Caenorhabditis elegans: one gene and its partners. The protein of the gene in region 1 binds, or shares a complex with, the protein of each later gene. Each region holds a gene or a part of one and is shown in the gene's direction. Other genes may lie near its edges.

Region 1 (5,934 bases):
AGTTCTACTTCTTCGATACGGCTTCCATCGGTATTCTGAATTTCCCTGTCAGCACCTGCCCTTCGTCTTTGCTCAGGCAATCAGCACCGAACTCTCTCTCTGTTAGAAAATGTCGCCAGTTGCTCGGGCTCTTTCCCTCTCTCTCTATCTCTCTCTCTATCTGGCTCACCGACCGCGTGGTGGTGCTGCTTCGTCGACACGCTCGTTTGGTGATAAATGATTTGCTCCCCCTTTTCGTTTTCTTTTTCTTCTTGCGTTGATTTTTCACATTGTTATTGCACTTGGCAGTGTCGTATTTTTGTGTTTTTATTTTGACCCATAAGTTCTAATACGATATCTTAGGCTCCCAGCTTGACTGGTGCTCTCATAATTTGAAATCAGAAGTTTTTCTTTTAAAAATTGAAAAAAGTGCACATTTTTCTTAAATTTTGAAGCTAAATATTTGAAATCTTCCACACTTCTAGTTTAATTCTCGATAACATCTGATAATTCTTTCCAAAATTTCAGGTCGAGCTGGCAAACATGGAAAAGCAATCACATTCCTCACACCTGACGATACTGCCGTCTATTTCGACTTGAAGCAGGTAAAAATTGTGGACGGACACCTTCCAACACACGTGTAATTGGTTTACTTTCCAGTGCGCGCTAACCGAATTCCCTTTCGTCTTTTTTCGCGCGCGCTCTCCGGCACTTCACACATGTGTTGTGGTGCTGGAAGGTTGCCTAATTTCTTGCACTTGAGCTGGTTTTCTCTCTGCGACGAAAATGGATTTTTTGTTAGGCGGAAAACGGAATTCGTTTTTTTTGTAAGAAAATGAAAATTATTCGGGAATGATAAGACCGGTAAAACGTTCCATAAGATAAGAACATATTTCAGCGTTCTAGAGCAATTTAAAACAAAAAAATGTTGTGATTAATTCTACAATTTTTGCGCCGAAAATACGGTACCCGGTCTCGACACGACAGAAATTGTTGTTAACTGCGAAAGGTCTGCGTCTTTAAAGAGTTCGGTAACTTCAAATTTTCATTACTGCGGTAATTTCAAATTTTCATTTCATTGAGTTTTCCCATAAATTCATAAATATATTTTTTTATCGAAAAACAATGAAAAATCTTTAAAAATTCGACTGAGATTAAAGTTTGGAGTTACAGTACTCTTTAAAGGCGCACACCTTTCACATTCATCAAGAGAGTGTCGTGTCGAGACCGGGTGCCGTTTTTTTGTCAAAAACTAGAAGAATTACGTTGACGCGAAATGTATGTCCCCTTGCTTTACAAAATTTTATACACAAAACATTTAATTTTTAAATTTTCCAGGTTCTCGTTGAATTGCCTGCGTCGTTATGCCCGAATGGACTCGCGGAACATGATGCTGCACGGAGCAAACCTAGACAATTCACATCTTGATGTGAAAGTGAACTTTTTGTTTGAAAATTTCAAACATTTTTCAGTTTTTTTAAAACTTACCAAATCTTCCAAATAATACTAACCACCACATATCTTCCATTAAAAAATTTAACGTTTTTCAGCGTTCTGAATATCTTATCTCTCTGGTCCATTTCTCCTACAGAATATCTCTATCTCATAATTGCCTATTTTTATTTGTTTTTCTTTCTTAATTTCAAGCGTTTGGGATATCTTATCTCTCTCAACTCCGTTTATTTTTTTCTCCTTATCCGTCTCCTTATCCGTATTCCTTTATTATTAATCTCTTCTTCGTTCAACATCGCTAAATATTTTTTTCAATTCCTAATTTCAGGTCAAACCGGGGAACGAATCAAAAAGTGATTTTGCCGTCGGCGATCCGAAAATTTTGCCGGCTCGTCGACTATTGACGAGAACAAGAGGTGAGAAAATGGGGAACTTTTTGATATTTCCATCCTGATCTTTTGTGAATTGAAAGTTGAATCACAATAGATCGATGCACCATAATACAAAAAGTGACAATTTTTCCCCACTTTCAACCATCCATTATTCTATTTCTTTTGCAGGAATCGTCGTTATTTTTCGTTTGCCGCGTTCGTCGTTTTGATTTGTTCTTCATTTTCCTTCTTGTCGATAATTGTGTGTGAATCAAGACGCTCAGAAAGCCGCCGCCACGTTGACGTCGACGGTTGTTGAATCGCTTGCAAAAGCAACATTTCAAAAACAAGAGCAGAGTAGAAAGATGAGCGAAGAGGATTGGCCTTCGCCGAAATTTCGAGAGCATGTTATTCAGAGACTGTAAGCTTTTTTTAAAGGAATATTTTTTTGATAACCGAGAAAACATTTTAAAAAATTTTTTTTTTGTTGAAAATTTCCAAAAATTTCCATTCAAAATTTTGATAAATTCCCAAGTATTTGTAAATTATAAACCATAGGAGCTGATGTCACAAATGTATCCAGGCTGTACTCTTTTTAAAAATGAAAAAAAAATCCCGAAATATAAAAATTTTCCAATTTTCAGTGAGCCTGAGTTGGCGAGAAACCGGCAGAATGCCCCAAATTTACCAGTACCCGGTGACGCGAGGCAGGTCGAAGAATATGTGTTCGCAAAGTGTATGTCGAAGGACGAATATATGAGGACGATCGCAAAAGTGATTAATGCTATCAATTGTAATAGTAAATCAGCGGCAGTGCCTTCCGTGTTACAACCATCACAGTTTCATAGTCCGCCGTGTACGACAGCAGGTAACTTTTTGTAGTTTTTTGTGGCAACGAAAATCTAAAATTTCAATTAGCTCTATTAGGAAACACTCCGGCTGGCGGAACACCCGGATATCGAGCTCCTGTGCCTCCAGATCCACAACCAACATCAGCTCAGGCAAGAAATCCACCTGTTACCGTAGCAACAACACAGGCATCAACAACTCCATCAGCACCAAATCCGCCAGGAGGATTGCCTGCTCCATCAGCTTCTGCCACTGCTGCTGTTGCCGCCGCGGTTGCTTCATTTCCATCACCAGATACAAGTATTCGTCCAGGTGGACAGATCACTCCAGGATCACAGGCACCCGGTGGAGGTCCGACGCCGGCACCAAATGTTCCATTCCCAAATGGAAGCAGCCAGATGAATGGTGGACCAGCAATGGGTCAGCCACCACCGCAAATGGGTGCTCCAAATATGGGTGGACCACCGAATGGATACGGTGGTTACGGTATGATGAATGGACCACCTGGTAGTGGTGCTCCAATGGGTGGAAATCCGTACAATCAGCAGATTAAAAAGGATGTGAGTTTATTTTTCAAATGTATTTTTTTTTAATCTGCTAATTTTTCAATTTTTGATTAATTTTTTTTTCAGATGGATCAAGCTCGTCCTTGGGATCCTTCAGCACATATGTATCAACAACAACCACAATGGGGTGCAATGCCACCACAACAACCACATGGATATCCTGGAAGACCAATGAACGGTCAAGGAGCCACTCCAACCGGTCCTTCATCAGTTCTTGAATCACTTATCAATCAGCCTCAACAATATCCAGGACATCACAATCAGATGGGCCCACCTGGAGATCGAAATGTTGCTGCTCAACGTGCAGCTGCCCAACAACAGCAACAACAACAACAACAGCAGCAACAGCAACGACCCGGAATGGTTCCAAACCAGGGAATGATGAGTTCCGAGGATCAAACCGTGTATTCTGCGAAATTGAGAAATATGCGTGGAAGCTGCGACAGTTTGAGAACACGAGCAAGGCAATGCAGACATGAGGGTAACCATGAAGCTGCTCACAAGCTTGAGGTTATGCTCAGTGTGCTCGAAGGAAAACGTGTGGTTAGCCTTGAATACTTGAACCATTTGGAGATGTGGATTGCCAGAAAGCAAGACTTCTTGAATATTGCTCCAATGTCACAGAATCAGAATCATATGGGAATGAACGATCCGATGATGAACGGTGAACATGCTATGTTGGGTAATGGTCAGGTGCCAAATCCCTACGGAGGACATCCAGGTTATGGACATCAGCAGTATATGGGACCTCCACCACCACATATGCAAATGCATCAACCACCAATGTGGCATCAACAGCAACACCAACAGCAGCAACGAATGATGCCACAGGATCATATGATGATGCAGGGTGGAGGTGGTCCAGTTCATGGAATGTATCGTGGAGATATGGGACACGATCCGATGACATCACCAGTCAACAATCATCGTCATGCTCCATACCCGAATCCTGCAGCGATGAGAAACAATATGAGAATGCCAAATGGTCCTGGACCAATTGGAAGAGATCGTAATTCGATGAGTGGATCAAGTATGTCAGGTCCAAGTTCTGGAGCCCCTTCAATGAATCCAATGGGTACACCGAATCAAAAAATGGGAACACCTGGATCAATGGGTGGAATGTCAGGACTTGATGATCTGAACTATGATGATTTCCTTCCAAACCCAACGCCGATTGATGCACTTCAGCCAACATTGCACGTCGGGCAGAATTCGATGAATGTAAGTTTTATATTAAAAATTGAGTTTCTCAGCTTTCAAAAAAAAAAAACACACAAAGTATCCTCAAATGATTTTTGAAAAAAGTGAAAAATAATTGTGTCGCCGAAAACACGAAAAAAAAAATCGAAAAACGAAAAACCTCTGATCTCAAACAGGGACACCAAAAACATTTTAGACCAAAAACAAAACATTTTCGTATTTTTTCTTCTCCCGACTAAAAATCAACATTTTCGCAATTCAGTTTTTTTTTCTTTTTTTGGTCCGAAAAAACCAACAAGATTACCAAAAAATCTATTTTTACAAAAAAAAAATCAACAGCCAATCAATAATCTCAATCAATAAATATTCAGGCTGGTCCACCAGTTCAACGATCAAATCTCAATGAAACAGCAAGAAAGGAACTTCAAATCCTTGATGCTCGATTCGAGATTGATCCAAACCATCAACGTCATGATGCCAATCATATCATTGTCGTCTGTAAAATCCGTAATCAACAGTTCCCACCACTTCGACTCGTTGTTCCAACCACTTATCCAGCTGGAAATGTGACTGTAGATCGAGCAGTCATTGATTTGGATGCATATTTGTATGATGATCTACAAAATTCAGTATATGAGAGATTATCACGACCCGGTCTTTCGTCAATTACTGACTATTTGAATGCTTGGGTAAGTTCTTTCGCTGAGAAAGGGAAATTTATGAAAATTGCACTTCAAATTGAATTTTAAATTTATAATTTTCTACAGGAAGAACAAGTGAATCAATACCAAAACCAGACAAGCGGTGGTCTAGACGTCGCTTTCAACGTGGGCAACGATTTCTTCTACGATAATCTTAACTTGTAAGTTAGGTAGAGTGCATTAAGTTTCTTTTTTTGTGCCTGCTCACTAAAAGTTTTGTTATTCAATGTTTATTTTTGTAAAATAATAAAAAATATGAAAAACATTATAAAATAAAGTTGGAAGTGAAAAAATTCCGGAAAGTTTTAATTTTTGTAATAACTTTACAAAAAGTATTACTCAAACGCGAAAGTTTACGATTTTTCACCAAAATTACGGTAACCGGTCTCGACACGAAAAATGTTGGTCAAATGCGAAAATATGTGCGTCTTTAAAGAGTACTCTATTTTTTCATCGTTTTTTGATTAAAAAAATATATACCTGTCAATCTAAAAAAAATACCCGAATTTGACAATGAAAACACAATTAATATGATTTGAAACATGATTTTAAAATTACAGTACTCTTTAAAAACGCAAACCTTTAAAAAAATTAGAAGACAGTTTTTTTTAAACAAACTGTTTTCTTCTCAATCAATGTTTTCTAATTTTCAGGTCAAATCCGTTCTAAACTCCGCCTCGTCTGAATTGAATTGCTCAGTTGCACAAAACCTGTACAAAAAAGAAAATCGAGTCTTCGTGGAATGGATTCAGTTGTTGTTGTCCTCTATAAATGATTGTTTTGCCTCCTCCTCCTATCATCAGCTTGCCCTTCTAT
Region 2 (4,835 bases), on another chromosome or scaffold:
CCATAACATTTTTCTCGCTGCGAGACCCATCCGAATAAATCCGTGCGCCTAATCAGTGCGAGTACGCATTTCATATTACTGATAAGTGCCATTTTTAGAACAATGAGCAAATCGATTTGCAAATCAAGCATGCGCGCAGCTGTAGTCCGACGATTCGGAGCACCTGATGTCATAGAAGCCGTCGAGAGTGATATGCCCAGGCTTGAAAAAAACCAGGTTCTCGTTCGGAATTACGCTGCCGGTGTCAATCCAGTTGACACATATATTCGTGCTGGTCAGTATGGAAAACTACCAAATCTTCCATATGTACCAGGAAAAGATGGAGCCGGATTCGTCGAACTTGTGGGAGAAAGCGTTAAAAATGTGAAAGTCGGCGATCGAGTCTGGTATGGATCAGAAGCGGACAGTACAGCAGAGTATGTTGCGGTGAATCGACCATTCGAGTTGCCGGAAGGTAAAAGAATCATTGCGCAACGGGTTACTGTAGCTAGTTGCCCGCGTGGCGAGACCTAAGATATAGCTAAAATCTCATTTCAGGAGTTTCGTTTGAGGAAGGAGCTTCTCTCGGAGTGCCTTATCTTACCGCTTATCGTGCATTGTTTCATCTTGCTGGTGCAAAGGTTTGACTTTTATTTATTATTAAATGGTTCATAGAGAATATTAAAATTTTGGCAAAAACGTATCAAAATTAGGAGGCAAAATCAATACAAATCAATCTTTACAAAGCCAACTTGACCATCTGTTCCATCTCAAACAAGGGGCGGTCTAAAATACGACCATCTGCTGTTCCCTCCCAAAACTAATTCTCTTCTCAGACTGGCGACGTTATACTTGTACACGGAGCATCTGGTGGAGTGGGAAGTGCACTGATGCAGCTGGCTGCCTGGAGGAACATTGAAGCTGTTGGCACTGCTGGATCTGCTGATGGGATCCGGTTCGTGAAGAGTCTTGGTGCACGGAATGTCTATAATCATTCGGATAAGCAATATGTGTCGAAAATGAAAAATGATTATCCAGGAGGCTTCAACCACATTTTCGAAATGGCTGCTCACACAAATCTGAACACGGACCTCGGATTGCTGGCTCCACGTGGTAGAGTTGCAGTAATTGGAAATCGCGCCGAGACCACGATCAACGCAAGACAACTTATGGTTACAGAAGGAGCTGTTTACGGTGTAGCATTGGGAATGTCTTCCGAGGCTGAGCTCTTGGACTTTGGCATCAACATTGTCTCATTCTTGAAGGAAACCGAGTTTCGTCCACTTATAAACAAATTGTATCGTCTCGAGCAATTAGGACTGGCTCATGAGGAAATTATGAACAACAAGGGAGCGAAAGGAAATCTTGTAGTGCAAATCGAACATTAATTCATTATTTTAACACGCCATTTAAAGGAATGTAAATGAGAATAAACTGTACTTTTTATGAAGATATGAAAAAAATAAATTAATCTAGATTTCAGCTTCTTGAAACTGATTTTCAACAGAAATTTGGCAAATCAGTCCAAATGTCAGTTTACCTACAATAAAAGTCAAGATATTTAAATGTGTGAAATGTATTATATATGTAGTAGTTTTTTCGCAGAACTCTGGTAGAGTTCAAATCCGCAGAATATGCGTGAACGAAGAGACCACACACCAAGCGCGCTCTATTGTCACGCGTGAGAGAGAAGAGGCGCAGTAATATCTTTCTCAAACAATGCGTTTTTAATTTTTATCAACCTATTTTGTTTCAATTTATTATTTTAACATTTTTCTTTTGAAAATTATTACATTTTCAGGCAACAAAATGACGGATAAACCTGGTTCCGCAGAAGATACAATTGAAATGGATGACACGTGCTCTCCGCAATTTGTTCAGGAAGTCAATCGAATAAAGAGTCAAATTAAAAGTCTCGTTGTGAGTTTTTTAAATCAAAAATAACGCTTAAAAAATTAAACATAACTCATAAAAATATATTCTAGGAAGAAAACCACACAAGAAAATTTTTTCGACCTCTTACGTCGAATATTGGCGACGAGACGGCGATTTTACGGATTCAATTCAATAATATGATGAGTAAAATGGAAGAAAAAGAAAAACAATCTTTAGTGAAAGAGCTAATAAAAATGGTTCATCACGTGGCGGAAAAGAACTCTCCTGATCGAGTTTTTGTTGGGTGAGAATTTAAAAATTCGAAAAAAAAACAATTTTAACAGTTCTTTTGCATATAATCAGAGGTTTTAACAGTGTTTTATTCCAGAACAAACTACGAACGTGTCGTAGATCAGCTTCTCCGATATGCTCATCAAAAAGGTGCGATTTCAACGAATCTGTGCGCAGAAGGACTCATAATGACTTCGGACTTCCGATTATGCAGTAGAATATGCCAAGAAAAATGGAAATTCATCAATGATTGCATTCCAAAAATCGATTACAAAGGAATTCGGAATATCCTCCGATATATTCTGGAATCACAGCTCCGTCGCCTACCGTATTCACTATCTCCGGAGCAAGTAAACGAAATCCGCATTGTTGAGAATGTAATACTGCATATTGTGGATAGAGACTCCAATTTGATGCCTCCACTCATCACATTATCAGAAATTATGAGAGGAATGCCGAAACAGGCGCTTATGCTGCCGGTGAGGGGAAAATTTTAAAAAAAATTGCTGAAAATATAAAGACAATGTAAAAATTTAGATTTGTTAATTTTTTTTTTCGGCAAAAAAAACACAAAAAAAAGATCTCTCTACATTCAAAAAGTCGAATTTTTTTTTGGCGGAAACCAAAAAAAAGTTCGACCATTCTCGCAAAGTTTCTAATTTCTGTGCATTTAGTTTTTGAGTTACAGAAAGTAAACCAAATTGAATACTACAGAAGTTTTAAAAAACTTAATTTAAGCCATAAAAAAATGACGGGAAATTTCTTCTGATTTCTAAATTTTCAGTTTCTCAACATTTTATTTGAAGTTTTTACCAAGGGTGGGCGGCAATTACCGTTCGGCAAATCGGGCAATTTGCTGGTTTACCGATTTGCCGTTTACCGGATGTTAAATTTTCCGCAAATGTTTTGAGGGATTTTTTCATAAGACTGAAACACTTAAAACTGTGACTTTTTGGGCTGTTTTTCCCTTTTCCTCAGATATTTTTATAGAATTTGCTTACTTTTCAAAAAAGATGTAGAAAAAAACATTCAAACACTCACAGGATGCGTACAATTCTGAAATTCCCAAAAAATTAGTGCGAAACCACAATTTGCCAAAAATTTTCGACAATTGGTATTTTTCCGGTAAATTCGGAAATTTGCCGGTTTCACGATTTGCCGGAAATTTCAATTCCGGCACTTTGCCGATTTGCCGAAAAAATCGTTTGCCACACACCCCTGATTTGTATGCTGATTGACTGAAAAATCACCTTCATCGACGAAAAATTATCTGAATGTACAAAACCACAATTTGCCGAAAAATTTCGGCAATTTGCTGATTTTCCGGCAATCTGCTGATTTGCCGGAAATTTCAATTCCGGCAATTGTGGATTTTTTTTGCAAAAAGCGGCTCGAGATGAGTCACGGATCGACCCATCTCGATTCATTTACCAAGCCTATATTTCTTAAGATTAAATTAAAATGCCAAATATTACAGAGACTAACGGAGAAACTGGCAAGCTTATCCGTCCATTTCCGACCAATTGCCGACCTATCCCACGTGTGTGGCCGTGGATTCGTTTACCCCATTCCACTACATCCATCATTCTATCCATTAACATCGTGTTGGGAAGAACATGGATTAAATGCCAGTAATACAATTGTTCAACCTCATCATACACTTCCATATCGTCCTGAACATACTTCTACATACTTGTACACCCTCTACATGATTCTTCGTCAGCCATTGGGAAAGGACTCGGTATGAAATTGAGAATATATATATTTTAAATAACTTATCCCGAATTAAGTTTCAGCTTCATCCTCCGAGCAAAACGAAGACAAAGACAAATTGGGAAATGTTGATATCTGTAATGATATGTGAATCAATGGCCGAAGCAGAATCTCTACCGGAAACTGAGCCAATTCCACGATATCAATGGGACAATATTGTTAATATTGTTATTTATGGGATTACACAACATTTATTGTTAGTGTATTTCAAATTTTTCGATTTTGCGAAACCCGAAAAACAAAAATATTCCTTTTTTCAATTATTTTTCGCAAATTCAGAAAAAAAATCCAATTTTTTACTTTTAAAGTAAAATTCTAAAAAATCCGAACATTTCGATTTCCGACATTCAGGAAAGCTAAATTTTTGGGTTTTTCAAAGAGAAAATCGAAAAAAAAAAGATTCTATTTGAAAAACACAAGTTTTGAATTTCAAAATTGTCTTGAAAAGCCAGAAATTTGAAAGTAGAGCTAATAATTTAATTTAAAAACTAAGCGTTTCAATTTTTGGTTTATTTCTGAAGGAAAAAAAAATCCAAAATCAAAATTCTTAGGATAAAAGCTATAATTTAAACAAAATCTTTTGAAAATTCTTCAAAAATCTGAATGTTCTTGACTTTTAGACCTTCAAAAAAAAATCGAAAAACCAAAATATTTCTTTTTTTCAATTATTCTTAGAAAATTCCAGAAAAATCCAATTTTTCACTTCTTAAATAAAATTTCGAAAAAAAATACCGAAACTTAAGATTTTCTTGAAATGTTTTTAAAAAAAAATTTACCAAAAAACAAAACTTTAGATTTCCGACATTTAGAAAAATTGAAAACCAAAATCTTTAATTTTTCTTGTAACTTTTTCTTTTAAAAAATCCAAAAAGAGAAGTTTTGGATAATAGATATTCTCGAAAATCTGGAAAAATTAT
Region 3 (3,508 bases), on another chromosome or scaffold:
GAAATGTCATTGTGCTCATCGCAGCAAGTTCCTTTTGCTCGGGTTCGAGAGCTGAACGATCAACGGGTGTTGGTTCAGTGCTCCGGAGAATTGATTTGGTTTCAATAACTGAATCTTCTTCCTTGATTTCGACAGTGTCTGTTTGATGGAATGTTTTCACATTTTCAAGCTGTTGCGCAAATCGAACTCCCGATTTTTTCCGTTTGACGGTGGTTTTTGTTACGGTTTCCTAAAAATTGTGTGTTAAAATAATAGTGAATTGTTTCTATTTAGTATTTGAAATTACCTCAACAATTTCTTCGACCTTAATCACTTGGGTCTCTATCTTTTTGGATTTCAGTTGTTGGTCAGAATTATTGCTTTTCTCGATATTATCATCAGATGCATAATCATCAGAGTCGAGTTCTTCTACACTATTGTTAAGATTCTCTTCATCATCGTCTCCTTCCTCTTCATCTTCATCATACTCCTCATCGGAACTCTCTTCATCACAAGTGTCTAAGAAATCTAACAGCCGTTCCATTTCCTTCTGTGTTACTCCAGGTTGTGCCAGCAAACGTTCATTCATTCCAAATCTTAGTTTTTTATCAGTTGGATCTTGTTCAACTTCCTCAACTTCCTCTAATTTACCCAAATCCTGTAAATCTTCGTTTGAAACTTCAAAAGGTTTCGGAATTGGAGCTTCTTCCATCTCATCATTGTCTTGTTCCAGTTTCTCTAGTTCTTCCAAACGGTTCATCACATCGTTGTGATCTTGGTCACCATTCAATTTGTTCTTTTCTATTATCTTCTCGTTCTGTTCATCATTTTGAGACATCTTTTTGTTTTTGCGATTTTGATAAAACAGTTTTTCCATCTCTTCATCGTATTTCTCGACAATTTCGATAGGTCCTCCATCAATCGAAACAGATGAGAAATTATCTTGAGCAAACTTTATTTTGTCATCCAACATTCGAATTGAATCGAGACCTTCCTCACGCTGCCTTCTCATTTCAGAAACTCTCCGATCCAAGATCTTTTCAGCTGTATGAATGCTGCATTCTCCGTAATAGTTTGCACCCATTTCCATCGTAACTTGATTCGTGCGAACTACATGGGCACCGCAGAAATAACCGACTTCGCAAATTTTCGCCTAAAAATTAGAATAAGATTATATGAGAGAGAATGTAATTTACCAAAATAGGAGCTTCCAACTTTTTCGAATATTCCTTTGCTCGTTCCAGAACTTTTTCATAGTTATCAGCAATGATTCTTCGACATTCGGTCTCAACTTCGAGCCGAGCTTTAGCCTGAAAAATTAAATTCATACAGACTTAATTATTTTTATACTATTTTAGGGAAACAAACTCGGAATTTAAAAACGAATTATTTTTGTCTTGTCGTTCATAATCATGTAAAAGGATTTTTAATTTACCGCATTGCATTCTGCAACGTAGAGTTCGCTCATTTTTTCAGATAGGTCTTCTTCACTCGTCACAGTCATTTTCTGCAAATCTTAGAGAGGTAATTCGGAGCGGAAAATGGGAAAAAATGTTAAAAAGTAACAATTTCCGAAAGCGCAATTTAAAAAAGTACAAAAAAGTACAAACTTTTATGGAGACACTACTGATTTCTGGAATCTGTTAAATCTTAGAAATGAACTCTTTCAGAATTTCAAACTTCTTTTTTTATATGCGTAAAACTTATCGCATATATTTTATGCAATATTGAAAGTAAGTAGAGTTTTAACCATTAAAGTAACTGAAACCAGAGTTTTATCGTAAAAATGGTAAAATATTCGGGAGTGTTGGTTTCCCTGGAAATGAGTCACGTAGAGTGTGAGTCCGCAAACACCAGCTGTGAATTGCGTAGAATACATTTAATATCACGCTCAAATAGTTTTGAATTAATTTAATTTTTTAAAAACATTTTTTATTCTGTTTATTTAGTTGATTCATTCAAAATATGGACAATTTAGTGGATATTGATGAAGATGGAACACAAGAAAAGGTATTTCGATTGTTAAAATCCATCTAAAACATTTTAATTCAGCTTTCTGTGAATTCAACTCCCTATCAAACACAAGAATGCGTTCTTTATGGATCTATTTTCGCAAAAAATGTCCCAGTTAGTTTTTAAAGTAATTGGACTAAATTCTAATACAAAAGTTTCAACTTTAGGACTTGGAACGACGTTTAGCCGGCCTTTGTGATCCGGGATGTGAGGAATTCTTCGAGCATGAGATGTCATTCAGCCTACGATCTTCGGGTATAATGGATATCAAAACCGATATTAAGTAAGCTTTTTTGTTTATCTATTTAAATATTTGCATGTATTTGATTTTTGAAGATTGCGAAGAAGATTCCGAACAGAACATCGAATTCAAAATTATTGGCAATTAAAGTACATTGGAGGTCGGTTTTAACCTTATAATTCGTATTTTATAATTTTTTGTTTTATTTCAGTTCCGGAACCAGATCAAAAATGCCCAACTATTGTTCGAAAAGAAATCAGTTCACTTGTCCATTCTCAGGATATGATGACGTATGCGAAATCCTTGGGTCTCCGCATGGACTATGAATATATGACACAAGGAAAATTGTGGACAAAAGGAAATATAAAGATTCTGCACTCAATATTGACTAGTACTTCTCGCGCAGGAACATATGATTCAAATTCAATCAAATCTGTTTCTGATTCTGCGTTAGTGGAAATCAGTATCTCATTGCCCGAGTCTGCAGAATACATGCCGGTAGGTTTTTTAGTAATAATTTCGAATTTATTTTTTCAACTCATTTTAGGCTGCCAAGTCTCTTCGTGATTTTGCCGATCAGCTGATGCCACTTGTTAATATGGAAAAAGTCGATTACTGGAAGAAAATGTTCCCAGCTCAAGCAGCTCCTCGTCGTTAATCTTCATTAATTGATTGATCTCACTTTGATACGTTATTTAATTTATAAAATTCACGAAGTATTCAATAATGTTAATATCCCACAAAGCTTCAATGGTTTATACCTTTTATTTTCTGATATCAACATTAAACATTTTTTTACTCCAATGAAAATTTAGAATGTCATCGAAAAATCCAGTAGATGAGCAACCTTGCTGTGGCTCCCATGAAGGTTCGCATCAAGATCCTGCTCCGGAGACGTTAGTAGTTGAAAAAGAAGTTAACAATGGGGAAAAGAAAATACGAATTGCTGTTGTCGGATGCTCTCACGGAGAAATGGATGCTATTTATGAGGTAAAATTTAAAAAAAAATCATATTTTTCGAACAAAATTAATGGCATATTTCAGATCTATTTTCTCTATTAGATTGTTTTAATTGCTATTTAAAATTACAACTATTTAAAAAAAATATTTCAGACAATGACACTAATCGAACAGAAAAATGGCTACAAATTCGATTTGCTGATCTGTTGTGGCGATTATCAAGCTGTCCGAAACTACGGCGACCTTCCACATATGAGTATTCCACCAAAGTACAGAAGTCTTCAAACATTCTATAAATACTATTCTGGAGAACAA

Evidence for each region.
Region 2: mdt-15 (region 1) and sur-2 share a complex: the UniProt entries of both Caenorhabditis elegans proteins name them as parts of the mediator complex.
Region 3: mdt-15 (region 1) and mdt-18 share a complex: the UniProt entries of both Caenorhabditis elegans proteins name them as parts of the mediator complex.

The regions. Positions count from the first base shown.
Region 1 is NC_003281.10:5,829,571-5,835,504, reverse strand, and holds mdt-15 (Mediator of RNA polymerase II transcription subunit 15), read left to right. Parts: upstream 1-1,759; 5' UTR 1,760-1,847; intron 1,848-1,991; 5' UTR 1,992-2,028; coding exon of another isoform or gene 2,029-2,121; 5' UTR 2,122-2,167; coding exon 2,168-2,223; intron 2,224-2,446; coding exon 2,447-2,670; intron 2,671-2,720; coding exon 2,721-3,211; intron 3,212-3,283; coding exon 3,284-4,438; intron 4,439-4,788; coding exon 4,789-5,106; intron 5,107-5,184; coding exon 5,185-5,283; 3' UTR 5,284-5,380; downstream 5,381-5,934. Other genes in the region: R12B2.6 (uncharacterized protein), read left to right, coding at 1,352-1,483; R12B2.13 (uncharacterized protein), read left to right, coding at 2,029-2,121. UniProt on the Caenorhabditis elegans protein: Component of the Mediator complex, a coactivator involved in regulated gene transcription of nearly all RNA polymerase II-dependent genes.
Region 2 is NC_003279.8:14,784,750-14,789,584, reverse strand, and holds the start of sur-2 (Mediator of RNA polymerase II transcription subunit 23), read left to right. Parts: upstream 1-1,781; 5' UTR 1,782-1,788; coding exon 1,789-1,899; intron 1,900-1,964; coding exon 1,965-2,158; intron 2,159-2,242; coding exon 2,243-2,624; intron 2,625-3,622; coding exon 3,623-3,886; intron 3,887-3,941; coding exon 3,942-4,114; intron 4,115-4,835. Other genes in the region: F39B2.3 (15-oxoprostaglandin 13-reductase), read left to right, coding at 103-454, 538-620, 816-1,367. UniProt on the Caenorhabditis elegans protein: Component of the Mediator complex, a coactivator involved in regulated gene transcription of nearly all RNA polymerase II-dependent genes.
Region 3 is NC_003279.8:6,492,268-6,495,775, reverse strand, and holds mdt-18 (Mediator of RNA polymerase II transcription subunit 18), read left to right. Parts: upstream 1-1,928; 5' UTR 1,929-1,944; coding exon 1,945-1,989; exon of another isoform or gene 1,990-2,031; coding exon 2,032-2,106; intron 2,107-2,159; coding exon 2,160-2,275; intron 2,276-2,328; coding exon 2,329-2,393; intron 2,394-2,444; coding exon 2,445-2,731; intron 2,732-2,780; coding exon 2,781-2,891; 3' UTR 2,892-2,954; downstream 2,955-3,508. Other genes in the region: uri-1 (Unconventional prefoldin RPB5 interactor), read right to left, coding at 1-229, 287-1,132, 1,176-1,289, 1,415-1,447; dbr-1 (Lariat debranching enzyme), read left to right, coding at 3,050-3,223, 3,347-3,508. UniProt on the Caenorhabditis elegans protein: Component of the Mediator complex, a coactivator involved in the regulated transcription of nearly all RNA polymerase II-dependent genes.